Linked DNA regions of Macaca mulatta. The protein of the gene in region 2 interacts with the protein of the main gene of each other region in a pairwise test. Links are inferred from orthologs where the notes say so. Each region holds a gene or a part of one and is shown on either strand. Other genes may lie near its edges.

Region 1 (10,892 bases), on a different chromosome or scaffold from region 2:
GAACCACTTGCTTTGGGATTGCTACTCTCTGACCGAAGAGCCAGTGCTGATGCTGGAAGATTTCGCTCTTTGCCGCCAGTCACTGTGCATTGCTGAGTCCTGGGTACTCTACCTCCATCTAAAATCTCTGGATGGGGGGTAGAATCACTCCAAGGGATTTACGTATTTTTGCTTGGTCTGGAGTACAATGTGGTACCCAGGACCCAGGGGAATTAGGGTTCTTGAACTTTGGGGGACCAATAATTTTTTTTTTTTAATAAGGACTGAAGGGGTTCCTGGAATGCAGGACTTTCATTTTAAAAGCAAGATGAGTCAATCAACTAAGCTCCAGCTCAGCAGAGGCTTTGTTCTTCAGGATGCTAGTTCTTGCTCCTTGGACCTCCAGGACATGCCCATAATATTTTCTTGGGCTCTAGGCCAGGCTGGTGAGATGGTTTCACAGGTAAGTAAAGGAACAAAGGGAGGCAATGTTCTTTTTATTGCTCTTTTATTTCTGTGCTGTCTAAATGTCAGGATCACTAGGAAAGATGATTCCAGCTTCTTCATCCTCCCATTTCCAGATGGAGGCCTCCCTAGGGTAGGGAGCTATGATGGGAAATAGAAGCCTCTCGTTGGGTGGAAATGGTAGTCACTGTGAAAACTGCTTCTCTAAACATAGGTCTAGCCTGACTCTCAGTAATACCCCACCCTACAAAGTGAAAGGCAAGGCCCCAGGGACAATCTATTTGTTTGACTTCTGCTCCCATTTGCTTGGACTGGACTTATTTTGTGGGCTATAGGGCTGCTGCTGGGTTTGAGAGCCCTTGTCCTGCGTTTGTGGTGAGTTGGGCTCAGACTCCACATTAAGCGGTGAGCATTCGGGCTTGGTCTCCAAACTACAGCACCTGGCCTTAATGCAGCAAGGGGGTTTTGGCTGGCAGCAGTGATTGTGTTTTGGCGGGCAGCATTGATTGCCTTTTGGCTGGCAGCACTGGTTCTGTTTTGGTGGGCAGCATTGATTGCCTTTTGGCTGGCTGCACTGGTTCTGTTTTGACGGGCAGCATTGATTGTCTTTTGCTGGGCAGCATTGACTGTGTTTTGGCTGGTCACACATCTTCTGGACACTTGGAGGTACTAGAAAAAGAAAAGAATATTCTCATCAGAAGGAAATCTGGGTGCCTGCTTTCATTTCCTCCTTTCTTAATACCCAAATACATCCATCTTCAGGATAATGACTCAGACCGGGGTTGAGAAAGCAGAGCTGGATACCTCAGAGGGGCCAGCCAGCCCTGTAATTCTACCTTTGCATATGCCAGCATGTTTGTTCCTTACTAGGTAGTCATTTGCCAGATAAAGAATCAAAAGACCAGAATATGTAAGCAATGTGCCTAAGGTCTCTTAGCTAATGAGCAAACAGTGTGACCCTCCGTTGCCAGATCCTGGGTCAAGTGTCGGGCCCTTCACAAACATCAGCTAATGTAATGACCGCTACCTGCCTCAAGTAGACATTTTTAGTCCACTTCACATCATACGAGGACCACTGAAGTTCAAAGATCCACCTCAGTTGCTTGTAAGTGGATTCAAGCCAAGCTCTATCCCACTCCAGAGCATGTGCTTGTTCTTGTCTCTAATGTGGCATCCAGGGACCCAGGTGCAATGGAACTCTTGTACTTAGAGTGACCAACTGTTACACCCTTCCCGAACGCATCATCTTGTCCCATGCACAGAGCGCTGTGGTGGTTACAGCAAGATGAAATGAAAAGTACAGTGCTTTTGGCATGGCAGGACCTGAGTTCTAGGGCTGGTTCTGCAACTCCCAAGCCTCAGGGCTTGGGCAGTTCTCTTCATCTCTCTGGGCTTGTATCTCTTCCTCTATAAAGGGGCAGTGGTGGGGATGAGGAAGGGGGAACTGGACCTTATAGGGATCCTCAAACTCAACCATTCAGCAGTTTTGTAATTTCCTCATTCTTCTAGGTATAGAGAAAATCCAAACAACTCTTGCTTTACTTCTATCTATCTACCTTCCTCCACCCAGGAAATCCAAGTTCTCCCAAGAAGGTCCCTGGGCCTTGGCCCCAGTATGCAGCCCCTGGGGAAGCCCCTATGTGGTTTCTGCCTTGTCCCTCCAATGGCACATGATGAGAGGATGAACACCACTGTTGTGGCCCCAGAGCAGAATAGAGGGTCTAGAAGTGGCCAGGAAACAGTAGGCAGTGAGCAGGTTGTTATCTAGCCTCCTCAGGGAAATGTGGAAGCATGGGAAATGAGCCTATACCCCCTCTGGGGACTCAGCTCACAAAGCCACAAACCCATGTGGGTGAGGCACCAGGCCTGTCAGAGCCCTGTCACCGGTGTGGGGGATGGGTGTGGGATTTGGATTGACAATTGCTGAAGTGAAGTTGCAACCACCTTCTGGCCTCTGGCATCCTCGGGATTGTGAGAAAAGCCTCTTGTCCAAACTAATTTTTTTTTCTTTCTTTCTTTTTTCTTTGGAGGGAAGTACCATTACTGGACATGGAGCTTCACTCTTGTCGCCCAGGCTGGAGTGCAAGGGCGAGATCTTGGCTCACTGCAACCTCTGCCTCCCGGGTTCAAGTGATTCTCCTGCCTCAGCCTCTGGAGTACCGGGGATTACAGGCACCGGCCATCATGCCCAGCAAATTTTTGTATTTTTAGTAGAGATGGGATTTGTCCGTGTTAGCCAGGCTGGTCTCAAACTCCTGACTTCAGGTGATCCGACCACCTCAGACTCCCAAAGTGCTGGGATTACAGGCGTGAGCCACTGCACCGGGCCCCAAACTAGTTTTTTAAACTGAACCAGTTACTGCTGTGGGCTTCCACTAAGCACACACTTGCCCATATCTCTGTGAGAATGTGTGTGTGTGTGTGTGTGTGTTTGTGTGTTTGTGTGCACACACGTGAATGCATGTAGGCATGTGTCCATGCATAATCATAAGTACATGGTGAGGAGAACTTGAGGTTTGTGATGATGGCTGTTTAGTTGGATCAAATTGATATTACTTGAACTTTCTCATGAGTCTTAACAGTTAGAGCCAGTGTGAATAGCTCCTAGCAGGGGCCAGCCTCCGTCCTAGCCGTCTCTCTCCTGCTGGACACTCCCTACTTGCCCTCCATCTGATCCGTACCTGCTGTCAAGATACTTCCCCCAAGTCCTGCTCAAACCCTCTCCCTGATGTTTAGAAAGCCACATCTCTTGTCTTGTCCTCTTCTTTTGTGTTCTGTAGATAGAGGGACTCCTGGGAACAGTAGCTACAAATCTCTCCTGACACTAAAGTCTTTCCGGGGGAGGACTGGGCATGGTGGCTCATGCCTGTAATCCTAGCACTTTGGGAGGCCAAGGCGGGTGGATCACCTGAGGTCAGGAGTTCGAGACCAGCCTGGCCAACTTGGTGAAACCCCATCTCTACGAAAAATACAAAAACTAGCTGGGCGTCGTGGCAGGTGCGTGTAATCCCAGCTACGCGGGAGGCTGAGGCAGGAGAATCACTTCAACCCAGGAGGCGGAGGTTACAGTGAGCCGAGATCGTGCCATTGCACTCCAACCTTGGCAACAAAAGTGAAGCTCCATCTCAAAAAATGAAATGAAATGAAATAAAATAAAATAAAATAAATTAAAATAGAAAAATGAATTATTTCTGGGGGTTACCCCATGATAATGATATGGTTTGGGTCTGTGTCCCTGCCCAAATCTCATCTTGAATTGTAATCCCGACATGTGGAGCGAGGGACCTATAATCCCCACATGTTGAGGGAGGGAGGTGATTGAACCACTGTGGCAGTTTCCCCCATGCTGTTCTCATGATAGTGAGTTCTCACAAGATCTGATGGTTTTATAAGTTCTGACATTTCCCCTGCTCTTACTTCTGTCTCCCACCACCAAGTGAAGAAGGTCCTTCCCCTTTGCCTTCTGCCATGATTGTAAGTTTCCTGAGGCCTCCTCAGACATGTGGAACTGTGAGTCGATTAAACTTCTTTCCTTTATAAATGATCCAGTCTTGGGTAGTATCTTTAGAGCAGTGTGGAGAAGGACTAATCCACCCCAGTAGGACAAAAATCTATATCATCCTTTCCTGAAGGTGTGCATGATTCTCCAGTCAGGTGGTTGCTAACGGATGCCTGTCAGATGACCTACTTTGCTATCTGAATCACCCCTGTGACTTATAGAAGACCCAGGGCTGTGGCTGTCCTGAATGATGGGTGACATGCTCTTAGACTCAACCCTTTTTTATCTGGGGATTCACCTAAATCCAGTTCGTAGTGTAAAAACTGGGTCCCATTGAGCCAGGTGTGGTCGACACCTCCACCCACTAGTAACAGTAACTTTCAGACTCACATGTTGGACGCAGCCCCAGCCGGCCTCTCTTCACTTTCACTTTCTGAACCACTGGAGCCTCATCTCAGGGTTTCTCTGTGGGAAGGAGGTCCCTGGCATGTGCGTGAGAAGGCTTGGACATATGCCAGGGCCCTCCTTCTTACAGAGAAAGCCCAAGACTTTCTCTGGCAAGAAGGGGAGCACAGTGCTACCTCCTATAAGGACCCCTATGTTTGAATATTCTGAACTATAGCATTAGGGTGAGAGACAATTGAGAAGGAAGAGTTATCTCTTAAGGCCCTGCCACCTGGTCTAAACCCTTCATGATCCTAAGTCTCTGGCTATACGGTTGCAGCCTGAACTGGGTCAAGGGCAGTTCCCACCTAAAAAAGGAAGAGTGACTTGGATTAGGATGTTGACTTTAATTTAGTCACAATTCTATCCCTGCCACTTATTCTAGGATTCATCCTATCTTTCATGGAAAAGGCTCCTGCTTCCATTTAAGAGAAAGACACTGGAGCAAGACTCCTAAAGGATGGGCGTGGGGACAAGTCACCCCGTTGCTCCTTCTAGGTCAGAGGAAGCTGCAAAGAGGCTGAGGTGGCAGATGCAGGCCCTGCAATGCCTTGACTTGCCTGAGAGGGAACGGGAAGGAGAGAGGTGAGCAATGGAGAGGTACACCAAAAATGGAAATAAGACACAGACAGACCAGCATAAAAACAGGGAAGAGGTGAAAGAGTACAGGGCCATGTTCTCTACCACCTTTGTAGTGTTCATAGCTGTTTGACAGGAAGTGTGTGTGTCCACATGCGCACACAAGCATACACCTGGTTGCCCCTGCAGCTGTACAGGGGTGAGTTTGAGTGTGTGGGTGTATGCAGGGAGCCCAGTATTTGTCCCTGTCTCCTTGTTGTTTGAATCTGCTCCCTTAGGGGTCAGACCTAAGACTAGGTTTTGAGAGGGATGAGGAAGGAGTGAGCCTCTTCTGTTTTTATTTTCTGTTGTTTCTCTCTGTGTTTATTTTTGCCTTTTACTATTTTTTCTCTCTGCCTTTCTATCATTCTCTGGTCTTCATCCTGTCTCTATATTTCTGTCTTTTGTCTCCGGTTTACCTTTCTCTATTCTGAAGGTCAGTGCCCTGAACTGACCAAAGTGCAGAGTCTCATCACCACGTGGAAGTCCAGTTTGTTAGGGTCCATCCTTACAAGTCCAGGCTGAGCTGTTTCTACAGAAGCAATTCTCATTCCGGTGACCAGAGATGCAGAGGCATCAGAGGGCACCTGGAGCCCGGGTCCAGGGGCTTGCCTCACTAGTCCCACCAACATCTCCACTCCAAGCATGTCCCCCATAGTCAGGTCCTGGGAACAGGTCCTGAATATGGAGGTTGTGCCATATCAGAGAAGGAGAGCAGGTTAGAAACCAGTCTTGTTGACTATAGCATAAGGAGGGCAACATCAAGTCCTTCTGCAGCTTCACCCCCATGGATGCAGGTCCTGCCCCTCTGAGCCAATGCTGTCTCCACTGTCTTCCTTCTGCCTAGTGAATATTATCTATTTCCTCCACTTTCAGAACGCTAGCTCCTGTACAATAAATGTGCCTCCTGACCACTCTGCCTCCTGCAAGAGTTTCTTCTTAAGATTCTCTCCTTGGCCAGGCTCAGTGGCTCACACCTGTAGTCCCAGCACTTTGGGAGGCCAAAGCAGGTGAATCTCTTGAGGTCAGGAGTTTGAGATCAGCCTGGCCAACATGGTGAAACTCCATCTCTACTAAAACTACAAAAATTAGCTCGGCATGGTGGCATGCACCTGTAATACTAGCTACTTGGGAGGCTGAGGCAAGAGAATCGCTTGAATCTGGCAGGCGGAGGTTGCAGTGAGTCGAGACTGCACCACTGCACTCCAGCCTGGGAGACAGAATGAGATTCCATCTCAATAAGTAAATAAATAAAAATTAAAATAAATAAATATATAAATATTCTCTCCATGCTCCGTTTCCCCTCCTTCCCAACCAAGCTCTGCATAGCCTGCCTCAGGAAATCTGCCTGATCACATCAAACACCTGTGGCCCAGGGCCAGGGCCATCTTCCTAGCTTTTCTTATTGCTCTATTCAGTGAGGATTAATACAGAGCCCAAACCACCAGGAGGGCCCTGGCAAGGTGCCTTCTGTCTGACGTCTGCCCACCGGCCCAGTCTCATGTCCACCCACTGTTCTCTCAGGCACCAGACTGGCTCAGAGCAGACACCTGCTGAATTTTCTCACCTCTTTCCGGGTTTTTGAATGTGTTCTTCCCCAGCTTGAACCACCCTTCCTGGGTCTCTGTCCCCACATGCTCACTGAATCGTTCAAACCTGAAGTCTCTGCTTACACATCACTCCTCAAGGAAAACTTCCTTAACCCATAGCCTCTGTCTCCCTGATAGGCTTTCTTGGATCCCCTGTACTTCTCATTACATTTTTATAGTGGTTATTATTTCCCTAATTGTCTGACTTCTGTGGTCCGTTAGCTCCATGAGCACAGATATCCTCACTATCCCCACCCCCAGAGGCTCCAGTGACTTCCTATTTTTTTTTTTTTTTTGAGATGGAGTTTCGCTCTGTTGCCCAGGCTGGAGTGTAGTGGCTCGATCTCCACTCACTGTGATGAGCTCTGCCTCCAGGGTTCACACTATTCTCCTGCCTCAGCCTCCTGAGTATCTGGGACTACAGGTGCCTGCCACCATGCCCAACTACTTTTTTTTTGTATTTTTAGGAGAGATGGGGTTTCACCGTGTTGGCCAGGATGCAGTGGCTTCCTCTTAAATGGAAGCAGGAGCCTTTTCCTGAAATATAGGATGAATCCTGGAATCCTCTCATCCAGCACACTGAATGGCATTGCATGGGCCTCAGTAAGTAAATATATAATGAATGAACACATTAAAAAGCCATGCAGAGAGGGCCCAAAAGATAAGGTTTCTGTGTTACCTGGTCTGGCCACACACTTCTCAATTCACAATTTCCATGCTTGACTTCTGATGACTGATTCCAGTAGATATTATTGATCTTCCTCAGCAGCCTAGTGAGTCCATGACTATCAGAAGCCAAAGTCTTCTGAACCAGATTGGTTCCCTCCCCTGCTAATACCAAGATTCTAAGCCTCTATGACATCATAATCCTCTCCCCAGGACTCTATGCCTAGCTCACTCACTAGCGCCCTCTGCCTGCTGGAGAGTCTGACTCTTCTCGGTTTCTTTCCTGAAAGATACAAAGTTCCCTAGCTAACCCATAAGCATGCAATGACCTAAAACACAAATCTGTATTGAGTGTCTCCTATCTACCAGGCTGTGTCCTAAAAAGTGAAGTGTAGCTCAATGGAATGTAGTTTCCATTCTCAAAGAACCAATTCAATATGGAGGCAAGTCAATAGCCAATAATACCATGTAATAATAATGATGGTAGGATAAGCACAGGGGTCAGGTTTGGGGGTCAGATATGCTTCCTGGAGGGAGTGATATTTAAGCTGAGACTTGGAAATTGGAAATAGGAAGGGGGTGTCTGGGAGACATTTTCAGATCCAGAAATGTGAAAGTATAAGCTATTTGGTGGAAAAGCTCAGTGCGGCTGGAGCAGAGTGGGGAGTAAGGAGAAGGGGGAGACTCACCTACCTAGGTAGGTAAGGCTGTGTTGGTGAGGACTCTTTATGCCATAAAGAAAATAGTTTGGACTTTATCCTGAGGACAATGGGAAGCACCGAAAGGTTTTAAACAGGGGAGAAACTGGGATGCCTTAGGGGCAAGGACCCTATTTTATTCACTTTGATATTCCCAGTGTCTGGCTGAGCAATTGGCACATAAAAGATTCCGAAACTGAATCAATTCAATAGTGAATTGACTAACATGGTGAGAAGAGAGAAGCATTTCATTATGTTTGTTCTTTTCCTTTATTCCTCTAGCATGGACATTTAAGGACATTTAAGGACAGTGACTAGGAAATTCTCTTCTCCTGGGAAGCATGCCTGCCATAAACACTTGTAGGACACCAGGCAAGAGCCTAAACAGAGGCTTCTGACCCCTGTGGTTCACCCCTTGTTCTCTTCCTACTCCCTGGCTTCATCCTGTGCCATGAGGGACCTTGGGTGTGCATGAGTGTAAGTATCCTAGCCCATACCATCCATGTTCTTTTCACACACGGATCTCTCAAACTGCCCCCTCTTGGTTATTGAGACCTAGAAGTGAGCACAGTGTTGGTTGTTTGAGTCTTCAGGAGGATGGACACATAAAGATGATCTCAGGGCCATTTGACAGAGATTTATGGGATCCTGGATAGTGGGTATGAGGGAGACAGCAGCTCTGGGCCTATACACTGAAATATCAAATTATCCTATGGCCAGGGTCATGGCTGGAAGAGAACCAGAGAAGGACTCTTTTAAAGTGTGAAGTCCAGGACAGAACTACCTCGGCCAAAGGGTAGCACTCCTGGGAAGTATATGAATTGAATTGTGCTTTTCATTCTATAATATACTATTCAAGTACTTCTCTTTCACTTGCCTTCTTCAGGTCTTCATGCTTATAGTTATTTCCAAAATTTATTCTCAGTAAAATGTCTGCTCTCATTCACATCTCCCCAAGTGTCTAACATTGTAGTTGGGACCAAAGCCTTAATCTATAAGAATTAAGTTATTTCTAGGAAGAGTACAGAGAGGGAGAGAGGGGTAGAGTGAGAGAGACAGAGAGGTGGAAATGGCCAACAAACCTATTAAGAAATGCTTATTCATAACTAAAGGAATGCAAACCAGAAGATCAATGAGACACTGGCTTTTCCATGACAGTCCAGTAACAAACATGAAATTTTGATCACATTAATCATTAATGAATATGTTGAGAAACCAGTATTTTCATATTCCGTTAATGAGATTTCATTTTACAATCATGTAATAGGATAGTATATAGCTAATAAAAGCATAGAGTCCGCTTGTAGATGATGCTATGAAAAATTCTCCCAACCATGTAATCAAAGAAAACAATCCAGTAAACAATGTTAGTGTATCCCTTGTCTTATAAAAAATAATGTATATATAAAGATATATATATCTTATATATATAAGATAAATATATATGTTAGTATATGTTAGTATACATAATATTTTCCTAGAAGAATCACATATACATTTTCCTAGAAGAATCACATACACATTTTCCTAGAAGAATCACATACACATTTTCCTAGAAGGATCACATACACATAAACTATTTGAATTTTAACCATGACGCGTGTTAGTTAATTAAAATTAAGCTAATGAAGGCTATCTAGGAGGTGAGGATAGGTATACTTTCTGCTCACCATTTAAGTTCTAGTTCCAACACACTGTATGGAACATCGTAGGTACTAAATCCACATTTAGTCAATAAACGCATGGAAGAATAATTTAACTAGTACATTAACTTGGAACTCTGTGTGTTCCTGTTCTTCTGCCTGACTACTTCCTGCTGGAGTCCTCGGCTCTCTTTCCTTCTCCACCAACACTTATTTTCTTGGTTGGAGCATTCAGTCTCCTGACCATAAAGGCCATCTATATGTCAGTGATGATGATGTCTACTTTGTTAATAACAGCTCAGACATCTCTCCAGAACTTCAGACTTTCGTATCCAACTGCTTATTTAATATTCTCACATGGATATCTTTACACAGTCCTGTTTTGTTTTCCTCTGGTGGTACTTTTCAAATATAATATAATAGACATATAATATAAAGACCAGTATCTCATAGCACTAAAATAAGCTAATTTTTATTTATTGTAGTTTTATGTATTGTCTTCTCTCATTAGAATGTCATTGCCAAAAAGGCAAATGCTGCTTACTGATATATCTCAGGCTCTCAGACAGAACAGTTCTTAACACATAGTAAATACTCAAAAAATATTAGTTGAATGCATGAATGGTGATTGTTGGTCTTTTTTTTCTAATCAGTTTGTCTGCCAATAACTTCTAACTGTTTGTCCAAATTGGGGAACCCATTTCCTAAGGCTGTTTTCAATGCATCATTCAAACTAGCAGAATGTGTCCTGTGGCAGCCCCACTCCTACCTCCTTAGGTTTTTCTGCCTCTGTTATCAAAAGTGGGGAAGACTATGACCATCTTTCTTTGCTGCATGGGCTATGTTAATTGATGGTGAGAAAAGTCGAGGCCGGTTTGCAGGAATTTGCTGATGTAATGATGTAATTAGCTCCAGTAATGGAGTGAGTCTTTATGGTGCTGTCTTCCTGGGTTCTAGCATTTGAGGCTCTGCTTCCTGTAGGTCTCCTTTAATGTGATTTTTTTTTAACTTTTTTTTTTTTTGAGACAGGGTCTTATCCTGTTGCCTAGGCTGTAGTGTAGTGGTGTGATCTTGCCTCACTGCAGCCTCGACCTCCTGGGCTCAAGTGATCCTTCCACCTCAGTCTCCCAAGTAGCTGGGACTATAGGCGCATGCCACTACACCTGGCTAATTTTTGTATCTTTTGTAGAGACGGGGTTTTGTCACGTTACCCAGGCTGGTCTTGAACTTCTGAGCTCAGGAGATCCTCCTGCCTAGGCCTTCCAAAGTGCTGGGATTACAGGCATGCACC
Region 2 (10,915 bases):
ATTTCCTTTTATAGGTAATCTAACATATTCCCAGGTTTCAGGAATTAGAACATGAACATTTTGGTGAGAGATGGAGGGGACAATTATTCTGTCTACCACAGGAGCTATTAGCAGTACTTTTGTATTATTGTAAAATAATATACTTAAGCAGGATGTGGAAAAAGGAAACAAGCAACATGAGAGAGACCGTCTGGACTGAGCTTGACCTTGGGTTTGGAGGAAATCACAGACACTGGGTGAATCATAGTAGAGACAGAATTCCAGGTCAGAGGCTTCTCACAAGCCACGCAGCAAAGCACGAATCCAAATCCATCCTGGAACTTGAGTTTTAAAAAGAAGAATCAAGGGAGAAATTATGGTGGAGAGAATCATTGCTTTATCAAATATATATACAATTTCAATTCACTTGATCATTTTAGGACACAGGACTATGTTTCACCCAAGTGGAGTCTGATTCCTGCTAGGAAAGCCTGGTGTGCTGGGAAAAGTCAGAGACCTCTGATCCCTTCAGATCATAATGGCCCTCTGAGGTTTCAGGAAGTCTATAGTTAAGCACTTTCATGGGTCTTCATGAGAGTCAAAGAAAGATGCCCTTTCTTGATATACACTGATGCCATCGGGCGCCAGCATTGTCCCTTTCAGTACTCAGAGTTCCTTGTAGCACCCACCAGCTGTTCACAGTGCCAGGGAACTGGGCCTTACAATAGCACCACTCGGGGACTAGTTTTATCCCTTTTAAAAAATTATAAATAAGTTGCGGTCAGGAACTGCGTCTTTCTTCATGTGTCTCTCCCCAATCCACCACCCAGCGTCTGCACAGAGTAGCTATTCAACAGATACTGGTTGGATTGAATTGAGAAAGGCCAAAGGATCAAATAAAGAGTTGATGGGGTCTCTAAGACCTGGAGTCGAGGAGGGAAGAGAGGAGCTGGAAGCCCAGGCTGATAATGATTGACCCACACAAGGGAAAGGAGGAATTCTTGGGCACAGGAGGGCAGGTCAGAGGGTCTCTTCACTGGGAAATTCCTGGACCACCAATAACCCAGAATAATACAGCACTGAACCCGAAACTCCCACTGGAAGAAGATGAGTTTTCCAGAGCTTCTTTCCAGCCCACAGCTCATGCCTCCTCCATTCAGATTTGGATACAAGCAGCTCTGGGAGATGTCCAAGTCAGAAGGAAAAATCCAAGAACGACCAGGGGGAGATAGGGACTGCAGCACTCAGCCCCTCCACCCTCCTTCCCACAGGCCTGCCTGCCTCGCTCCTGGGTCCAGGGCACCAGATTCGCCATCTGCCCCCGAGGCATGAAACTGCTCTGGGATCCAAGAGTCAGGCCATTATATGGCCTGTCTTTCAAGTGGCTTTTTACAGCTTACTCAGGTGATGAGCACGTTGAAACAAATGAATACAAATGAAAAAGGCATCTGCTTTGCCAAGGAAATGATATTTATTAGGAGGTTAAAAGGGAGGGCCACGGGGACATCAGAGAGTTCTCTGGGTGAGCATAGGAAGGAACAGACCCCCAGGAAGGAAAGGGTGAGCAGGACAGTCTAGAGTAGTTGGGGAGGCTGCAGGCTTTGGGTAAGTTTCTTGGCTGCCTTACGGGGGCCACTCCAGCCATGCAAATGATGTTTTCAGGCCCCTTTTGTTAAACCAGAGCCAGGTCACAGCTCTGCAGTCCTGGGCCCTGCATCCTTGCTCCTCCGGCATTTCCTAGGTTCTAGCGCACGAAGGAATTGCAGGGCCCACAGCGGGGGCGTGGGGCACAGGGTGTGCAGGGGGCAGGAGGAACGCAAGGTGTGCAGGGATTGGAGACACAGGGTCCGATGGACTTGCTGCACGCGTTGGTCGTGGCACAGGGATTGCTGGGCAGACTGGAGACAAAAGAATGATGTGGAAAGGTGAGTTAAGGAAAATTTTAAAATCATATGCCAGAGATATCCCCAAGGGTAAGAATGCCTGTCAGGACTTGGCCTAGCCTAGAACAGAGAAGGCACAGGCTCCCCTGCTACAAAGATAGCTCACATTGTTCATGGTCTCCCTGCCATAGAGCACCAAGGTAGACAGAAACTCTGAAACTCTGATGTCTACTCTCAAATCCGTTCATGCCAAACTGATGACATGGGGTTGAGTCATTTACCTTCTCCAAGCCCCAGTTTACTTTCCTATAGATTGGAGGAAATACTGATCCAGCCCACCTGGTGGTAATTATAAGATCAAATCAGGTAGTCTATGGAAATGTACCCACTAGACAATACGGTATTGTAAAAAGTAAGGCATTGATCACATATCATGCAGTCATGCATATTATCACAGTAGAATGCAAAGACTTGGCAGTGCAATTTCAGTTTGTACATCAAACAACTCTTGCTACCAAACCATTTATGTTTTAAATGATGGCCATATTATATTGTCTGAGTTCTGTTTGAGCATGTCTAGTGTGAAGGCATAATTTCCTTTCCAAGGTATGCAATCTTTGCATTGTGTCTGAGTATTACACTCACACGTGCACCGCTTCATCAAATACATCTGCCCATGTACTCACTTGCAGTCCTCGCTCTCCAGGAGGCTCCGGTACGTGTTGATCTCACACTCTAGCCGGGCACGCACATCCAGCAGCACCTGGTACTCCTGGTTCTGCCGCTCCAGGTCACAGCGGATCTCCGCCAGCTGCGACTCCACATTGGTGATCAGGCTCTGCACCTGGGACAGCTGGGAGCTGTAGCGGGCCTCGCTCTCCGTCAGTGTGTTTTCAAGAGAGTCTCGCTGTGGTGGGGAAGATCCAGAATGTCAGAGAGCTGCTCCTTCAAAGGGTTTCTTCATAGGATTCCAAGGAAGTCACAAGCTCCAAGAGCTAAGGAGAGTGTGTGGCCCCAAGGGCATCCCCAGGACTCTGCCTCCCAATTTCCCATTGCTCACCAGCAGGTCAGAACAATACACACCAGGTTATGCTGGGCCTGCAGCTCAATCTCCAGGGCATTGACCGTTCGTCTCAGCTCGATGATCTCTGCCTGGTAGGACTGCAGCTGCTCCGAGCTGGATACCACCTGCTTGTTCAGCTCCTCGGTCTGAAACACCCAAGGGGAGAAAGGATCAGACCCTGCCTCTGGGGCCATAGGGTGGGCCTTGGGTCCTGAGTGGCCACGTGCTTAGATGCCCACCTGCGTGGTGAACCATTGCTCCACTTCCCTGCGGTTGGTTTCCACCAGGGCCTCATACTGACTCCTGGTCTCATTTAGCACCCGGTTCAGGTCCACAGTGGGGGCAGCATCTACCTCCACGTTGAGACGGTCTCCAAGCTGGCAGCGCAGGGTGTTGACCTCCTATGGATGCAGAAAATACAAGAGTTACTATGCTCAGCAAAGAATGGACTCTAAGGAATGGCATTGCTTGTTGAAGCCCTGTTGGTCTGTTCTCTCAGAACAGAAACTTTGAGTGGAGCAGTCTGTGACAGCTCAAGGCACTCCATGTGGCATAGCCCCCTCCCCACCATCTGCTGTGCCATGGCACTTGGCTTCAGAAAAAAATCCCAAAAGTTTGCTTGGATGCCACTGAAGGATGGACTAATTGAGGTTCAACTTTCCCAGTTTACAACTGGCTGTGAGGACCTCAGCATACAAAAAAAAAATAAAATTGGCTGTGCAATTTCAGACCGTATATCAAAAAACTCTTGTTGTCAAGTAAGAGATAAGAGCATATCATGGCCCCTCCCAGGAGAGAGAGGAAGAAGCTCACAAACACTATTCGCCAATACTTTGAAAGAGTAGAGACTCACATTTATAAGGTTTGATTTTTTTTCTTGGTCTTTGGCAAAAAAAAAAGACTTTGCAAAGCAGTAACACTGCAATGCTAGGACTCATTCTATAACTATTGACCAATTTCAAGCACATGGAGCTGCTCTGGGCAACTCAAAGAATGTGCTAGTTTAAAGTGAAAGATGTTTCCTGTCTGGGAACATGAACAGGTCTTATCTCTCTCCAATTTTTCTCTTGCCGTGATGTTTTTAAAGGAAACCCTCAGCCTTGTACTCATACTCTGCATTCTGCTGCCCCTAATCACTAAAGCTACCCTGAGTCAGAGGCTGAGACAGGTTTGTGCATTTCTCATTTCTAGTCTCACCTGCTCGTGATTGCTCTTGAGGCACAGCAGCTCCTCCTTCAGGGACTCCACCTGGGCCTCCAGGTCGGACTTGCACAGGGTCAGCTCATCCAGGATCCTACGCAGACCGTTGATGTCCGACTCCACCAGCTGCCGCAGGGACAGCTCAGTCTGGTACCTGCACAAGGAGCGGGTCAGAGCACTACTTGGTAGATCTTCAACACTCACAGGAATGATTTTTGATAACCTCATGTGCCTTATCTTTCCACTTTCTGTAATGAATAGGCCCAGGAGACAGAGGTTTCTGGAGGCTCCATCAATACCCAATATTCATCCCAAAACAAACAGATTGATGTCAGTCCTCATCTATTTTTGTGATTTCTTTGCTTGGTTCTCCCCAATCCTCTGCAGAATCCTTCACAGCAAGTGGGTAGATCTGTTTTTCAGTACAGCCATGGAAATCCCTTTTCTGTAACTAAAGATTAAACAGAAGAAATGGACACTAGTGCAAATTCCGAACAACTCACTTGGTTCTGAAATCATCCGCAGCTAGCTTGGCGTTGTCGATCTGCACCACAAGCCTGGCATTCTCGGACTTGGTACACAGGATCTGGGGAGTGAGAGGTGGCTTAGTGAGGACTGAAAATAAATATGACATCATCAACTTTTTAAAAATGACTTAAAAAGACATTTTGAAATAAAAGAGGAAGCAAGAATTATGACAGCACAGAAGCAAGAAACACACTTCTCTATCACAGACAGAATCACTGCAAACTCTCTTGCTTGGAGATGACAGCAATGCCCCTCACCTTCTGCTGAAGCTCCTCGATGGTCTTGAAGTAGGACTGGTAGCTGGGGCACAGCAAGGGCTCCTGCTGCTGGGACCGCTCCCGGATGAGGCTCTCCAGCTCCGCGTTGTCCCGCTCCAGCTGACGCACCTTCTCCAGGTAGCTGGCCAGACGGTCGTTCAGGAACTGCATGGTCTCCTTCTCGCTGCCATTGAAGGAGCCCTCGCAGAACCAGTTGCAGTTGCTCACATTGGCAGGGATGTTGCAGGCCCCGGGTAGGGTGCAGCCGTGGCAGCTGGGGGGCACGCAGGGCCGGGAGGAGCAGCTGGTGCGGCAGCTCAGGCTGGGCAGGCAGAAGTTGTAGGGCATGGTGCTGGGAGGGAGGGAGTGAGTGCCTGGCTGAAGACAGAGTCTAAATTCTCCAAGCCACAGAGCTGTGGGTCTCCTTCCTCTAGGGAGCATTTATATCCCACTGCAGAGGGTGTGGACACAGTATGTAATGTCTTTTTTCTTTTTATTTCTTCACTTCTTTTCAAACGCCCTTTCCTTCAGTCTGTTATTTGCCTTCCTCAGAAGAGTCCCTTGTCCCATAAAATTCTTTACTTGGGCTTCTTGCTAAGTCAGGACTCCTCCGCAGACAGTCCACCCATGAAATCAGAGTTCTGTGGTAGGCCTTCAAAGAGGCTACACAGTCCAGCCCAAGTATCTGCCCTCATTAATTGAGGTGTTGATCCATCCAATGACATTCTTTTGTGTCACATAATCCTGCAGGCCCATAAACATACTCATGTCCTGGTCCACCTGCCATTTCTAGGGAGAAACACGGATTGGTTTGAGGAAGAAGTTGCATTAAGAGGCCACAGTGGACTGTGTTTCCCTCTTCATTTAAAGAAGAATCTTCAAATGATGGAGCATTCCATGCCTTGGAAGCCTTAAGGTGGATGACTAGAATCAATGGAGGACAGGGATGAAAATATTAGACAGCAATTTGTGTTTTACGGGTCCGTGTAATACTTCCCCGCCAACACTGCATATTACTTAAGAAAATTGTAGAGGAGAGAATTTTAAAGGTAGAGGCTTTGATAACTAGTTTGAGAACAGAGAAGTTTCTAGGGTAAGAGATCATTTTGAAAGAAGGCTGAAAAGTGCAAACTGAGAGAGCCATAAAAAACACACTTAAGGCCGGACGTGGTGGCTCATGCCTGTAATCCCAGTACCTTGGGAGGCCGAGGCAGGCGGGTCACGAGGTCAAGAGATTGAGACCATCCTGGCCAACATAGTGAAACCCATCTCTACTAAAAATACAAAAAAAAATTAGCTGGGTGTGGTGGCGGGCACCTGTAGTCCCAGCTACTCGGGAGGCTGAGGCAGGAGAATGGTGAGAACCCGGGAGGCGGAGCTTGCTGTGAGCTAGGATCCCGCCACTGCACTCCAGCCTGGGTGACAGAGCGAGACTCTGTCTCAAAAAACAAACAAACAGAAAAAGGCATTTAAATGACCTAGAAAAGATATTTAGGGGCAGAGAGAAAGGAATAAGGAGAGAGAAAGGAATAAGGAGGTGTTTGTCAAACATTTCTTCGGGTGTCCATAGTATCCAAACAGAGTAGATGGATATGTTAGGAAAGTCAGGAGATAGCCCAAAGGGGCCTCCACAGGCATGAAATCACATGTATTTGATCTTTAAACTTCATGTGAATTGACCCTATATTCCATAATATATCCATGTTGGCTTTAATGTTTTCTAAAAGCCCCTTTTAAATTTCCAGTTAAACTTTCAAATGTTTTGCCCAATTCACTAAGAGAAAAGGATACACCAGGAAGATGGGCTATATTCTGTCCTGGGCTTCCCATCTCCAGCCCTACTGTAGATGCCCCCTGCTTTAAGAACCAAAGGTCTAAAGGTACCAAAGGAGGTCTCTGTGGTTGTATAATTAAATCCAAGGACCTGTGCACCGGGAAAGAAAATGCTGAGCACGGCATGAGCAAGGGGGTTTTGCAAGGCAAGCTGGAGTCACTTGGGGTTGCTTTGGGAGGTGAAGGAAGGCACTAGAAGATCTGAGGAAGAGGTAGCCAAAGCTCTGAATATATAAAAGTTGCATAATTATAGGCACCGTCAGGTACCACCTGCATCTCTGGAGGCAGCACCCCCATCTCCACTGTGGCTTTGGCTGCCAGCCAGAGCTGCCGTTTTATTGACAACTTATTGGAGTGCTTCTCCCATTGAGCTTTCATGATGGTATTCATGTCACACTCTGCTTGGGTCTCAGATAAAAGGTCCTTCATCTACACTCCCCAAGACCATTATCACTGCTTATTATAATGCCATTCAGATGAAAAGACCCACAGCACTACAAGGAAGATCTAGACTTATAATAAAATCTATACTTCTTTGTTTCCTTGCAAGACAATTAAACGTGGAGAAATAGGCGGGTCTACAGGCTGTTACCCTTGAGACTTTCCAGAGGAAGGACGCAAGGCTAGGCGGCAGCTGTCTGTGGGGAGCTTCTGTCTCATTTCATCTGGGCTTGGGGTGAATGGAAAGGCTCATGCATCTGATTGATGAGCACTAGCTTATAGATGACAGCACAGGCCTTCTGCTTCCTAACTCTTGTCAGCCTGCTCCAAGCACTGGCTTTCCAGCAAGCAGCTGTTTCCTCAACCCTTTCTTCTTCCCCAGCCAGGGAGGCTTTAACCTAAGCCCAGACTAAATGCCAGCAGTTTTCTCCAAGCTCTTGGGTCCTATCTACTGACTGGCCGGCATAGCCTCATGGAGACTGTAGTCAAAGAAGAGTGTTTAGGCTCTAAGTATGAGAAGATTCAAGGAATGGATTGACAAGAAAGCAAACATAGAATTTTTGTACAATGCAGAGAGATCAGAAAAATGGAAAGAGATGGAGACGAGGAGAGATAACAAGAAAAAGAAGAGACAAGGAAGAAAGTTAGGAGGGAAGAATCTTCAGAATCATGCAACAAATCAGACAAAGTTAGCCCAGCTTCCAAGGGGCTAACCTGGAGAATGCAAAGCTGAGAAGAAGCCAAGGCAAAATAAGCCAATAGACTGAGGAGTGGCCCACCATGCTGAGTGTCCTGCAAGGCATAAATCGAGTTGACTCAAAAGATCTATGGACACGGGACTGCAGCTTCTGAGGCCTCTGAAAGAAGTGACATTGTTCCAAGGTGTCCAGACCAAAGCATCACCTCTGTGATCCAGCTTAAGATTTGTTTGTGGCTGAGAAATATACTGCCATCTACACCCAGGCAGTGTAAGGTCTAAAAGGAGCAACACTGCCTGTTCCTGAAGGAATAAGGAGTGGGAAGAGAAGAAAGGAGAAATGAAGCAGGGAGAGTCAGTCCTGCACTGGCTGCAGGTCATGGCCCGTCAACAGCCACATAGAAGATGCAGGAGAGAACAAGCGACCCCTGTTATCTTCTGGTTACTCCTAGAGACTCCTTTTTCTCCCTGCTGGTTGCCCTGCAGAATGTGAAGTGGCACAAGAATTCAGGATGGGGACCACAGAGAGACTGGCTGGTGAGTAAACACAATGCTGCCATCTCTTGTAAATCTAGCTTCTTTCTTGCAGTGTTTCTAAGATCTCAGTGGGCTTGAGTGAATTTGCTCCTTGAATTAGTGGGGAAAATGGGACCCCAGGGTTGTAAGGTCCCCATGACCTCACACAGGCAAGGGATAGAATTCATGTATTCTCTTAGTTTCCTAGTTGGAATAGTTGCAAATTTTTTTCATTCAAGGAGAAATTGAGCAGTCAGTGGGCTATCAAACCCACATTCATTATTTAGTTCAATTTAATTCAGAACACATTTATTACACAGCTTCTCTATGCTGAGCATAAGACTAAACTAAAACAAAAGAATCGTAGTTCTGGTGAAAAAAATGTTTTTTATGAACAATTCAGGCCAAGATGGGTCCCCAATATGTATGAGAAATAGCCAGAAGTTAAGGAGATGAGATATTTAGAAGGTGTAAGATGGACATTTGGAAATATGTTTGTATTCAATGTAAATAGAAAATGGGTACTGGGCACAGTGGCTTGCATCTGTAATCTCAGCACTTTGGGAGGCTGAGGTGGGAGGATCACTTGAGCCCATGAGTTCAAGACTAGCCTGGGCAACTTAACGAGACCCCATGTCTACAAAAAAATATTAAAAATGAGTTTCAAAATTAGCCGGGCGTGGTGGCACATGCCTGTAATCCCAGCCACTTGGGAGGCTGAGGCAGGAAAATCGCTTGAACCCAAGAGGCGGAGGTTGCGGTGAGCAGAGATCGTAACATTGCTCTCCAGCCTGGGCAACAAGAGCGAAACTCCATCTAAAAAAAATTAAAATAAAATAAAATTTAAAAACGAGCCAGGCTTGGTGGAGCACACTTTAGTCCGAGATGTTCTGGAGGCTGAGGCAGGAGGATTGCTTGAGCCCATGAATTTGAGGTTACAGTGAGCCAAGATCATGCCACGGCACTCCAACTTGGGCAACAGCAAGACCCCATCTAAAAATTAAAAATAAATAAAAAGAAAAATGTACGTGTGACATTATGGGCATTAGTCACTTGTTGAACATCTACTGTGTGCATCTGCACATCTACAGTCCCAGGGGCGGGGGACATTGTGGGGAGTGGGGGCATGTCATGTCCCCACCACCCGGGAACTCTGAGTCCTGCTAAGCAGACAGGTCCACAGCTAACATAATGTAATGTGATTGAGCCTTCACCCAAAAATATCTCCTTCCCCTACCCACTCCATTTCTTCCTACACCCACCCTGACCCAAACCCCATTTAGGGCATTCCAATCCAGCTCATGATTTTCAGCCACATGGCGAGGAGATGAAGCTATTTCAGGTTATGCACTTGTATCCCAAAGAGTTGTTTGTGCTTCGCTCTCTAAGTGACTCAAGCAGGATTCAGAGAACTGTTCTCATTAGAATCTTGTTCCCTTTAATAATCTAGTCTTCAGCCAGGCAGGGTAATGAATTGTTTCGGCATCTGGTTCTTGTTGCTTTGCAGACCACAGGAGAGGCAGTGGTGATGGCCCATCTCTTCAGCCCTGTGGCATCCCCACAGGATCCATGGGAGTCAAGGTAAGTTTCAAAGCAAATGAAACATGCTTTTTGCCAGGTGCAGTATAAGAAATCATTCCAGGGATGTGGTGTGGGGCAGAAAAAGAAAAGTAACCACAGTAAATCAAGTAAATTGACAGAGGAAATAGAAAGGGGAATAAGGCTGGTAGAGGGAAACAGAGGGAGGACGCAGTCCTGCTGGTGAGTGGACACAGTTGTGCCCCCTTGAGACCAGAGAGACCTCCTGAGGGCAGAGGGCCTTGGAGACCAATGTGAATCACTGAGGCAGGTTGTATAGGATGTCCAAGAACTAGGGAGGAAGAAGGGAAAGGGACATTTGGATGCAATAACCAGCATCAAACAGGGGAGCTTCCAGGCGATGGCGAAAGGTCAGAAGCTGAGTCTAAAATGCTAATGGGGGACAGCACTGAGAAGATCACCCCTAGCGAGATCCCAGACCCTAGGATGCCTTTCCCGTAAAATCCATCCAGGATTTCAGAGTGGCGTGAATGTGAAGTTTTATCCACATGTACCTCCAGCAAGGCCCTCACAGTTGGGAACAGGGAAAGAGCAGGGGAACAGAAATGAGAAGACTTGGGGTTGGGTGCATGGAGCTGCCCCTCACCTGCCGTGAGGTGCAGAGGGGTCATTTCACCTCCCTACAACTGTACTTCTCCCTCTGCACAAGGGGGATTGTGATGCCTGTTCCCCTCTCTCAGGGTTGTTTGGGGCCTCCATTTGGATACAACACAAAGTACTTTAACAAGTGCTTTGTAAATGGTGAAACAATGAGCATCTATAGATTCTATTTTCCTCCTCCTCTTTCTCAGTAGACAAGGTGGTTTTACAATGGCAGGAGGTGAGTTGAGCTTCTTTGGCAACTCTCAGTTTATTAAAATTACCAGAGTCCTCAAGCTTCAAGATCCTGTGATACTAAAGGACTTTCATTCCTTGTACC
Region 3 (10,978 bases), on a different chromosome or scaffold from region 2:
TGCCCCACAGCAAAAAATTATCCATCCATTAAGGAAGTTGAATAAGTATTTCCCCTCTATCTTCTAAATATTTTAAATGCTTTTCATATTAGCTTTAAAATAAATATAAAAAGAAAATATTAGACACCTATGAAACTTGTTAATACTACCACTTTTTTGTTGTTTTGAGACAGAGTCTCATTCTGTCGCCCAGGCTGGAATGCAGTAGTGCGATCTGGGCTCACTACAATCTCCACCTCCCAGGTTCAAGTGATTCTTGTGTACCACGTCCAGCTAATTTTTGTATTTTTAGTAGAGAGGGGATTTCACCATGTTGGCCAGGCTCATCTAACTCCTGGCCTCAAGTGATCCACCCACCTCTGCCTCCCAAAGTGCTAAGATTACCACACTTAGCTTTATACGGCTCACCAAAAAAAAAAAAAAAATTCATAATGAATCCTCAAAAAAAAAAAAAAAAAAAAACCAGAGAGATAAGTTTACAAAATAGTGAACTGAAAGTTAAAAAAATTATGTGACAAACCTACTACATGTCAGAGTAAAGATATATCCCTAATCTTCTTCCCTTCAAAGTTCTAAGAGACATGACCACTACAGGATGCCAATCCAAAGAATCATTTATCCTCAAAGTACTTTGCTTTAGCCAACCGTGAACTGGGTCTAATAATTATTACAAAGCCTTAGGGAGATTAGGTAACACTTCTAAATTGTCTTAAGTGCCTGTAATATGTAAAATTCACACAAAAAACTTTATTTGGATCACTAAAAAGAAACAGAAATGAATACGTTGTAAAAAGAACACCTGTATAAATAAAAATGTTAGGTATGCACTAAAACAGTTTACAAATTACCACACAAAAACATTTTAATTCAGAGGTAACCAACTATACAATCTCAAACAACTTTTTAAAAAGTTTACCATTTGTAAAAAATATTTGTAACTTCCAATATTCTTCCTCTGAGAGAAACTTTAAATCCTTTTGGCGCTCCTTCAACAGATCTTGTTTATCCAAAATCCATTGCAAACTAGAAAAGACATGTTACAGAAAATCAACAAGCAAGGTCAGGGAAAACACTCTAAGATTGAACACATTGTTCATATTCTGAGAAGTACAAAGAGCAAAACATAACCTTAAAGACAATTATTTCTCACATTTCTTGAAATGTGACTAATAATTATCTCACTAATAAATGTAAATATGTCCTGAAAAAAATTCTGCTCTAATCTTTTCCTTCTTCCTCCTTAGTCTGTTACCAGCTTGTATTTCACTGATTCTGACTCTGATATCAAGATATGTCTTACAATCTGTGATGCCTTCGTGTTATAATTGGCAGCATGTTTATTCTTTCTTAGTGATATAAGATAACGGTGGAATTATTTGGCACCAATTGATGGTCGCTTAGATTTGAGGAAGTATATAGTTTTTCAGCTGTTCATGGGTAACTATGGCATTTAATTTCCTTACTTCACAAATCTAATTATATTAAAAACTGCCTCAGAATGTGTTACACTGATAGCCTCCTCCTCTTGCCTAGTCAAGTGTGCTATTTTTAACCAGAGATATGAAATTGACATGACTCAAAGAAAAAACGATCTTGAAGCTGTGTTTGTCATTCAATATGTATTCCAAGTCTTATGTCAATTAACTTGTTGTTCAGCAGTCTTTCATACAGCTTTATGGATGGATCATTATTTAGCCAATCTCTACTGATGCAAATATAGGTTATCATTTTTCACCCATATTTTCTAATACCCTTAAGGGCTTTTTTCCTTCAATTTATGATCCATCTGGAATTTATTTTGGTACAAAGTAGGGATCCAGCTAAAATTTTGTCAAATGCTTATCCAAATGCGCTGAGGTATTTCCTGATTTATAATTCTATCATTATACTTGGATCTTCTTTATAATTTCCTATTTTTTCTTGTTCATATGCTGTGCTATTTTAAAACACAGAAAATTAAGTAATTAATAGCTGGTATAAAAAAATACTGCCTTGCTACTATTTCCTGAATGATATGCTTCTTAATGAATATCTTTGTAATTCTCCTTGCATATTTGATTAATAATATATTTGAAATAACTTCCCAGAAGTAGGATTAGTGTTGCTGGTAATTTATTGATACACATTGTCAGTTTACCCTCCAAAAACATTATACCAATTTCCATTTGTATTAACAGTTCATGAGTGAATTGTACAATATTTAATCCTGGCCGGGCATGGTGGCTCATAATTCCAGCACTCTGGGATTCCAGCACTCTGGGAGGCCGAGGTGGGCCGATCACCTGAGGTCAGGAGTTTGAGACCAGCCTGACCGATATGGTGAAACTCTGTCTCTACTAACATTACAAAAATTAGCTGGACGTGGTGGCGTGTGCCTGTAGTCCCAGCTACTTGGGAGGCTGAGACAGGAGAATTGCTTGAACCCGGGAGGTGGAAGCTACAGTGAGTTGAGATCATACCACTGCACTCCAGCCTGGTGGACAGAGACTCTGTCTCAAAAAAAAAAAAAAAAAAAAAAAAATTAATCCTATGGGTTACTGCCACTTTTAAATATTTTGCAACTTAAAGGCAAAGTAGTACGTCACTGTTTCTTTTCCCTGTAGTTTACTTTTGAGGTTAAACATCTTTCTATGTCTTTATTGGTCATATACAGTTCTTCTTTTGTACAATGTTAATTCTAATATGACCATTTTTCTAATGGTATTACCGATTTTTTTAATGATTAAGAGATTCTTCTCATCTAAAATTTGTACAGTATGAATAATAAATCACTTGTTTGACAAATAAGTGCAAAATTTCTCCCAAGTTTAAATATCTCTCAGTATTTAATTATTTGTAATACAGAAATCTGAATCACTTACTTAAATCTATCTTTTACTTTCATGTTTGTCAGGCATAGCAAGGTCTTTCCTGATTCAAAATGATAAACAATTCACCCATATTTTCTAATACCCTTAAGGGCTTTTTTCCTTCAATTTATGATCCATCTGGAATTTATTTTGGTACAAAGTATAAAGTTGGGATCCAGCTAAATATTTTGTCAAATGCTTATCCAAATGCGCTAAGTTATCTTCTGATTTATAATTCTATCACTATACTTGGATCTTCTTTATAATTTCCTATTTTTTTTCTTGTTCATATGCTGTGCTATTTTAAAACACAGAAAATTAAGTAATGAATATCTGGTATGAAAAATACTTCCTTGCTACTATTCTCCTGAAAATTTCTGACATTTTATCACAATTATTATTCTAAGACCCAAACTTAAGAAGCATTATGTCAAGTCCTAAAAAAGAATATCCATTCAAATTTTGTGATTGCATTACATTTAAAGATCAATATAGGGAGAAATGACATCTTACCAAGAATTCAAACTTTATTAAAATCTGTATGTGCCACTATGGACTTTTAAAGTTTTCTTCCTACAGGTTCTGTATATTTCTTTATATTTTTCCCTCTGTATTTTATATTTTCTGTTGCTAATGTAAATTATACTTCTCTATCCATTTTTAAAAAGCTTTTATTTTTGTATTTTATAACTGGTCACCTTATTAAACCTTTATTATTTCTAATAACTTCTCAATTAACTGAGTTTTCTCATTAATTTTATTTCCACGTATTGATAATTTTGTCATTGTTTTGTCATTCTTTCTATATCTCCTTTGTATCAATTGTATTCACTAGTATACTGGTAAAATCTTAAATAGGCACCCTAATTATCCCAATGTTTTACCACTGCTGATGCTTTGATATGTTTTTCATGTTAAGGAAGCATCCTGTTTCTGTTTTAGTAAGAGCTTTAGTCAAGGATAAATGTTGAATTGCATTAGTTTTTTAATACCTTTACTGCTTCATTGACTATATTTCTATAATAAAATCCACTGTCACGTTTTATACTTTCAATGTAATGTTAGACTGTATTTGGTAATAATTCATTTACAATGTTTGCATCAGTATTCAAAAGTGAGACTGTTTTTAGTGTTCCCTTTACTAGATTTTTCTGTAAGTGTTATCATGGCTTTGTAAAGGAAAGCTTTTCTTCTTTCTGTATGAAATGGAACAATTTCAAAAGGAGATTCTCTTGAAAGATGTATTTACCCATGAAATAAGGCATAGTTCTTGGGTAATACTCTTAACTTGCTTTGGCTTTCAAATTTAAAACCCTGGAGATAACCCAAAAGTACCCTTGGGTTTACTTTTCTCATTCCTAATTTTGTATTTTTGTATCATTCCTTTCTCCCCTGATTTAACTAGCAGTAGTTTCGTCTACTGTTTTTGTTTACTCTAAGAATGATCTTTTATAATTTTTTTCCTTTTAATATATTAGCATCAGCGTTATCTATTTTAAGATCTTCTTCCTGTTTCTTTAGGCTTATTTCATGTTTCCTTCTTAGTATTATTAAATAGAATATTTCTATTATCTCTCAATTATTCAGGATATTGATTTTCTAATACATTCAAGCTTTGGTTACATTCCATATATGGTAATATTATGATGTTATTTTATAGATATTAAGTAACTGTATTTTCAGTTTCCTTTTTCACACAATAAAGTATCCACAGTTAGTTTTGTAGTTTCTATTTTTGTTACTCCTTCATTAATGCATTCAATCAACCCAGCAAATACTTAGTCCCCTTCTAGTTCATTTTGGTCACAGACTGTGTTTTGTTCTACTTCAACTACATTGTGGTTTGCTAATTAATTTCATCCCCACAGAGTCATTTTATGTTTTTAAAAAGATAAATTTCATAAATTTCACAAACATTTTATGAATTTTCCTCAGAGCTGTGTATGCAGGATAAACTAAAAAAATTTATAAATACTGCATTTCATCAAATTTAAGATTACATCTTGGATTCATCATTATTTCATATGCTATGAAAGAAACTGCCATGCTCATTTCAAAGATGTTAAAGTGTGAAAATATGCATCTTAGAAGCATGAAATATAGCATATTTAATGTCAATTGCCCTCTTTCACCAAATTCAGCTAAAACAATGGCCTTTCAAAATCTTTTGTTTGTTTTTCCAGAATTGTCTTGTCTTCCATACTTGTTACCTTTTCCAGATAAGAAACTCTATGACTGCTCAAGGGATCTGAGCAAGGCAAAGTGATCCCTTCTTTTAGGAGTATTTGAATTGGGAGAATAGTTTCAAAGAAGTACACTTAACTTTGTAATAATTTTATATTTGAAAAGTGAAAAAATGTTTTTATAACGCTATGAATAAATGAAAGCATAATGAGAACACCATTGAAAAAAGGTAGGAGCTTTTTTTTAAGTTGAAAAACTGACAAATCACCAGTCAGCTACTTGTCAATTCTCTCGGCTTCTTTCAAAGTTTATCAGAATCTCTCTTCTCCACTACCTAAATTTTTTTTTCAGGAGCTCTAACTCCAATACCTAAACTTTCGATACTTTAATTCTGCCCAAGCAATATTTCAGTGTGTGAAAACAATGCAACATATATATAATACACACACACACATATATATACACACACATACACATATGATCAGTTGCCTGCCTCTTTAACATGTCATCTCCACAGAATCACTTTATAGCAAGAGGAAAACCTGCTTTTCCTTAAATAGGTTACCGAGTTCATTGTTTCTTTTTTCTCCTTGCAAAGGGCTAAAAAATGAACATCAGGAACAGATCCTATTCACAGAATCGAAATTTAAATTACTTACTAATGCTTTCTTAGCATAAAAAATTATACTAAGATACCTTCTTTGTCAAGTTCTGTTCATCTTTCAACTATACAGTGGAAAGCCTACTCAATGTTCAATTAACCCCATCACGCACCTTCCTGCCTGCTTAAACAAATGTATTTAGAGATAAATGTTTTTAATATTATTCTAGCTCTCACATAGTCACTGACAGAAACAAGAACTTATTCATGAAAAAGGTTAAAGAAATAGAGAAACAAAATCACTGGAAAAATACGCCTTTAAAACAAAATATAAGGCACAGGCTAATGAAATGGATAAGTTTACAGGGCACCTGCCCTATACCTTATCAATATAAAACTCCATCTAGACATAAAGTACTGGCAAGAAGAGGTTAGTAGGCAGAAACAAGCCAGACTTTCTCCTCTCCTCAGAATATTAAATCCACTCAAGATATACAGTGAATGACAAAAGACCACGACGCCAATCACCCGAAGAAATCCCAAGCAAAAGCACGCCACAACTGTCCTGAACAGGTAGCCTCACAGTCTTGAGCTGAGTCACACTTCCCGTACCTGTGCCCACTCTATCCGACCCCCTGCGGCCTAGTTAAACTAAAAATCCGAAATTAAACTCTGAAACGTTTCTTCCTGGGAGACTAAACTCTCTCCCACCCCTCCCCCTCACAGATCCTTCCCTCCCCGAAACGGGCTGGGGGCGGGGAGGGGAGTCGCCTCAGAAAAGAGCATCTTGCTTCTGGCCGCTGCCGTCTCCCTTGAGGACCCCGGCACTCGGAACTGAGCCGGGATCCAGGCCCAAGGGAGTCGCAGGCCCCTTCCTCACAGCCCCCCAAAAACCGGCCCCAGGTGAGAAGACGTAAGATCACTTACTAGTGGGAGCTCTGCCAAAAGTTCCCTGCCATGGAACACAGCTTGCCCTGATAAAAAAGCACCAGCCGGCGGAGCGGCCCGCGGAGCGACCATAGACCCAGCCCGTCCGGTAACCGCGCTCCTCGATCAAATCAGCTCGGCTCGACTCCGCTCCGCGGCGGCGACGGCGAAAGGAAGAGGATGGCCCCCTAGTCTCCTTCACGCCGGCCGACAACACTCAACTGTGCAAACCCGTTCCTATCGACAAAAGTTCCGGCCCGCGGTAGCGGAGGGAGCCGGCGGGGAGGTGCTGACCTGTGGGGGCGCTGAGATAGAAGAGAACTAGTGCTCACGAGAGCTCACGGCGGTTGGAAGACTCTCGCGAGAGCGTCTTGCCTGTTCTGGCCGGGGGCCCACGGCGCTCGGTCTCCTGTCCTCAGCACTGGAGTTGCTGAGTAGGGGTCTAACCTGGGCGAAGTGGCTGAGTTCCGGGGTTCTGTTATTACCTCTTCCAGGACTTCAAAAACAGAACAATGGCATTGTAATAAAATAAAAGATTTTGTGACTTATTTTACCTGTGATTGGAAAGAGAAATAAATGAAGATGACTTTGTTCTCACGGATCAAGTTTTTTTTGTTGTTGTTTTTGTTTTTTGTTTTTTTTACCTTGCTCTGTCGTCCAGGCTGGAGTGCAGTGGCGCGATCCCGGCTCACTGCAAGCTCCGCCTCCAGGAGTTCGAGCGATTCTCCTGCCTCAGCCTCCTTCCCGAGTAGCTGGGACTACAGGCACGCACCACCACGCCCGGCTAATTTTTGTATTTTTAGTAGAGATAGGGTTTCACCATGTTGGCCAGGATAGTCTCAAACTCCTGACCTCGTGATCCGCCCGCCTCGACCTCCCAAAGTGCTGGGATTACAGGCGTGAGCTACCGCGCACGGCCTATTTTTTACTTTTGAGACAGAGTCTGGGTCTGTCACCCAGGATGGAGTGCAGTGGCACAATCTTGGCTCACAGCAACCTCTACCTTTCGAGTTCAAGTGATTCTGCTGCCTCAGCCTCCCCGGTAGCTGGGATTACGGGGATTACAGGCGCGTGCCACCACGTCCATCTAATCTTTGTATTTTTAGTGGAGAGGGGATTTCGCCAGGCTGGTCTGGAACTCCTGACCTCAGGTGATCCATTCGTCTCAGCCTCCCAAAATGCTGGAATTAACAGGCGTGTGAGCTACCAGGCCCGGCCTGGATCAAGCGATTTCTTTCTTTTTTTTTTTTCTTTCTTTTTTTTTCTTTTTTCTTTTCTTTTTTTTTTTTTTTGAGACAGACTCTTGCTCTGTCACCCAGGCTGGAGTGCGGTGGCGCTATCTAGGCTTACTGCAACCTCTGCCTCCCAGGTTCAAGAGATTCTCCTGCCTCAGCCTCCCAAGTAGCTGGGACTACAGTCGCGCACCACCACGCCCAGCTAATTTTTGTATTTTTAGTAGAGGCGGGGTTTCACCATGTTGGTCAGGATGGTCTGGATCTCCTGACCTCGTCATCCGCCCACCTCTGCCTCCCAAAGTGCTGGGATTACAGGCGTGGGCAACCGCGCCAGGCCGCGATCTTAATGGAGTTCTTTTGGAGTGATAGAAAAGTGCAAACTTACAGAGCAGCGAAATCACCGGTTTTGTAAAACACCTAAAAACATTCATGCACATATGTATGCACATGTATGTATATGTTTGCACCAAATAGAAACATACTGCAAGAACCATAATTTAATTTTACAAGATGAAATGTTTTGTATTTTCCATTTCAATTTCATTGTAACAATGCATTTGTTGTAAAACTTGTAATTATTTTTCTAAATAATTGGACACGCCAGAAACTTGTTTATAGACGATCAGCATCTGAGGCAACTTAAGATAGTATTTTTAACATTGTGGATGGAGACCAATTAGGGTGTGGTAAAATTAAGTATAATCATGTTCCTAAATAGAACAGAAAATACTAGGTAAATCAGAAATAGCAAGGATATTATATTAAATTTTGTTTATATTATATACACACACAGTCAAGATGTGAAATGCATTTATTTGTACGTGAGAATTAGTCTGTGCCAGGTGTGGTGGCTCACGCCTGTAATCCCAGCACTTTGGGATGCCGAAGTGGGCAGATCACTTGAGGTCAGGAGTTCGAGACCAGCCTGGCCAACATAGTGAAACCCGGTCTCTACCAAAAATACAAAAATTAGCTGGGTGTGGTGGCACCTGCCCATAGTCCCAGCTACTTAGGAGACTGCAGCACAAGAATCGTTTGAACCCAGGAGGCAGAGGTTGCGGTGGGCAGAGATTGTGCCACTGAACTCCAGCCTGGGCAACACAGAGTGAGACTCCAAATCAAAAAAGAAAAAGAAAAAAGAATGAATTAGTCTGGATAAGCTACACTAGGTGAAATTGTGGTAACACCTCCCCACCCCCACCCCTAATCAGCATAGCTTACCATGAAAGTATTTTACATGTCATAGGTCACTCCCATAAAGTCCCATAAAGTCAGCTTGCTCTCCTTGATGGTTGTCTTCCAGATCTGCAAGAATCTAATATTTATACATCTTTCAATTACTCCATCTTACTTCTAGGCTTAAAATCTTTCTAGAGAGAGCACAGAGGACTCATTTTACTAGCTCTTACCCAGTGTTAAGAGCCTTAAAACAGAAACAACCCAATCACCTTCTCTCATGTGCCAGAATAGACACATGCCTCCAGTTTTTAACTGTGAAGAAAGCTGAGGCCAGGCACGGTGGCTCACGCCTGTACTCTCAGCACTTTGGGAGGCTGAGACAGGCGGATCACGAGGTCAGGAGATCAGACCATCTTAGTCAACATGGTGAAACCCCGTCTCCACTAAAATACAAAAATTAGCTGGGCATGGTGGCGCATGCCTGTAATCCCAGCTACTTGGGAGGCTGAGGCAGGGGAATCGCTTGAACCTGGGAGGTGGAGGTTGCAGTGAGCTGAGATCATGCCACTGCACTCCAGCCTGGGTGTCGGAGTGAGACTGTCTCAAAAAAAAGAAAGCTGAGAAATGCAGAGGAGTGTGTAGTATACTTGATGAACACTACTGTCTGTTACACGGCAGATCACAATAAAAAATATTTAAAAGGCACTACCTTAAGAAACTCCAAGCCGTGGGCTATTTCACAGATTCAGGATTTCTTCAACTCTCTCAGGGTTTGTTTTGTTTGTTTGTTTTTGTCAGCCTGGCATCCAGAAGTTAAGGATACTGCAACGAATTAGTATTACTAATGTTTTATTATAAGCAATCCTATTACACTACACTTTGTTACTGTTACTGGACTAGCACTTTTTTTTTTTTTTTTGTCACCCAGGTTGGAGTGCAATGGCTTCAGGTGATTCTCTTGCCTTAGCCTCCCAAGTAGCTGGGATTACAGATGCCTGCCACCATGCCTGGCTAATTTTTTTGTTTGTTTGTTTTTGTATTTTTAGTAGAGAAGGGGTTTCACCATGTTGGTCAGGCTTGTCTCGAACTCCTCACCTCAGATAATCCACCCACTTCAGCCTCCCAAAGTGCTGGGATTATAGGCCACCTGCAATTTTGTTTTATACCTAATTCTGCACTCTTCTTCCTACAAAACAGTGAGATCCTTCATCTTTGTATTTCCATTAGTTCAGGGTATAATGCATAGTAGGCATAGCAAATACTGGTGTTTAAATCTCTTGCAGAATTTGGGGGATGTGCTTTGATATAATATTATGGATACAAAATTATGCTGAAAAGTGAGTACTACATTTAGAATGCAAAAAGAGCCACAACAACTTACCACAGCTGTGGAAATTCAGGTCCTTTCCTTCTGTGAACTCTTTTAGGCAATTTACAATAAGTGCTACATAGAACCTCTTCCTGTTTGTGACTTGGTTTCTGCTTCCGCCAAATGCCCTGCAGCTCCCAGTGTTCATGGGGGCTGTGCAAGTCAAAGGCCTAGAGCTTAGGCTTCCTTAGTTTCAGAGTAAATTGCTTTTGAGGGCATTCTATAAATGTAGGTTGAATTAAATTGACTTGATTCAAAAGCTAACTTCATTTAAGGATATCTCTAGTGGAATAGAGAAATTTATAAAAGCTGTTAAAATGCGTAGATATCCCAGCTTACCTGGATGCAAAAAGATCATGAGCTATCTAGTAGATTTGCCTTTTTTCACTGATCATTTTTTAAACTTTTCTTTATAATTTTATGAGTATTGTTTTTCAGGCCTCACTACCCACTAATTTAAACTTGATGAAATAAATTAATGTTGTCCCTTCCAATTTTCAACTTACCTTGTGCTTTTCAAACAGGGATGTGTTCAATAAATTCTTTTTAAAAAATTTTTATTTTTCATTTTTGTGGATACATAGTAGATGTATATATTTATGGGATACATGAGCTATTTTGACACAGGCATGCA

The links.
Region 1: the proteins of keratin, type I cuticular Ha1 (region 2) and SMCP interact in binary tests that used the Homo sapiens proteins (3 or more experiments, as listed by UniProt). The two-hybrid records come from large-scale screens. The link is inferred for Macaca mulatta from reciprocal best matches to the Homo sapiens genes KRT31 and SMCP.
Region 3: the proteins of keratin, type I cuticular Ha1 (region 2) and CCNC interact in binary tests that used the Homo sapiens proteins (3 or more experiments, as listed by UniProt). The two-hybrid records come from large-scale screens. The link is inferred for Macaca mulatta from reciprocal best matches to the Homo sapiens genes KRT31 and CCNC.

Annotation. Positions count from the first base shown.
Region 1 is NC_133406.1:114,155,608-114,166,499, forward strand, and holds SMCP (sperm mitochondrial-associated cysteine-rich protein), read right to left. Parts: upstream 7,402-10,892; 5' UTR 7,274-7,401; intron 1,114-7,273; 5' UTR 1,094-1,113; coding exon 722-1,093; 3' UTR 471-721; downstream 1-470. UniProt on the Homo sapiens protein: Involved in sperm motility. Its absence is associated with genetic background dependent male infertility. Infertility may be due to reduced sperm motility in the female reproductive tract and inability to penetrate the oocyte zona pellucida.
Region 2 is NC_133421.1:65,735,697-65,746,611, forward strand, and holds keratin, type I cuticular Ha1, read right to left. Parts: upstream 5,262-10,915; 5' UTR 5,259-5,261; coding exon 4,911-5,258; intron 4,712-4,910; coding exon 4,629-4,711; intron 4,280-4,628; coding exon 4,123-4,279; intron 3,327-4,122; coding exon 3,165-3,326; intron 3,072-3,164; coding exon 2,946-3,071; coding exon of another isoform or gene 2,942-2,945; intron 2,770-2,941; coding exon 2,549-2,769; intron 1,878-2,548; coding exon 1,724-1,877; 3' UTR 1,432-1,723; downstream 1-1,431.
Region 3 is NC_133409.1:86,293,659-86,304,636, reverse strand, and holds the start of CCNC (cyclin-C), read right to left. Parts: upstream 6,727-10,978; 5' UTR 6,594-6,726; coding exon 6,562-6,593; intron 1,024-6,561; coding exon 917-1,023; intron 1-916. UniProt on the Homo sapiens protein: Component of the Mediator complex, a coactivator involved in regulated gene transcription of nearly all RNA polymerase II-dependent genes.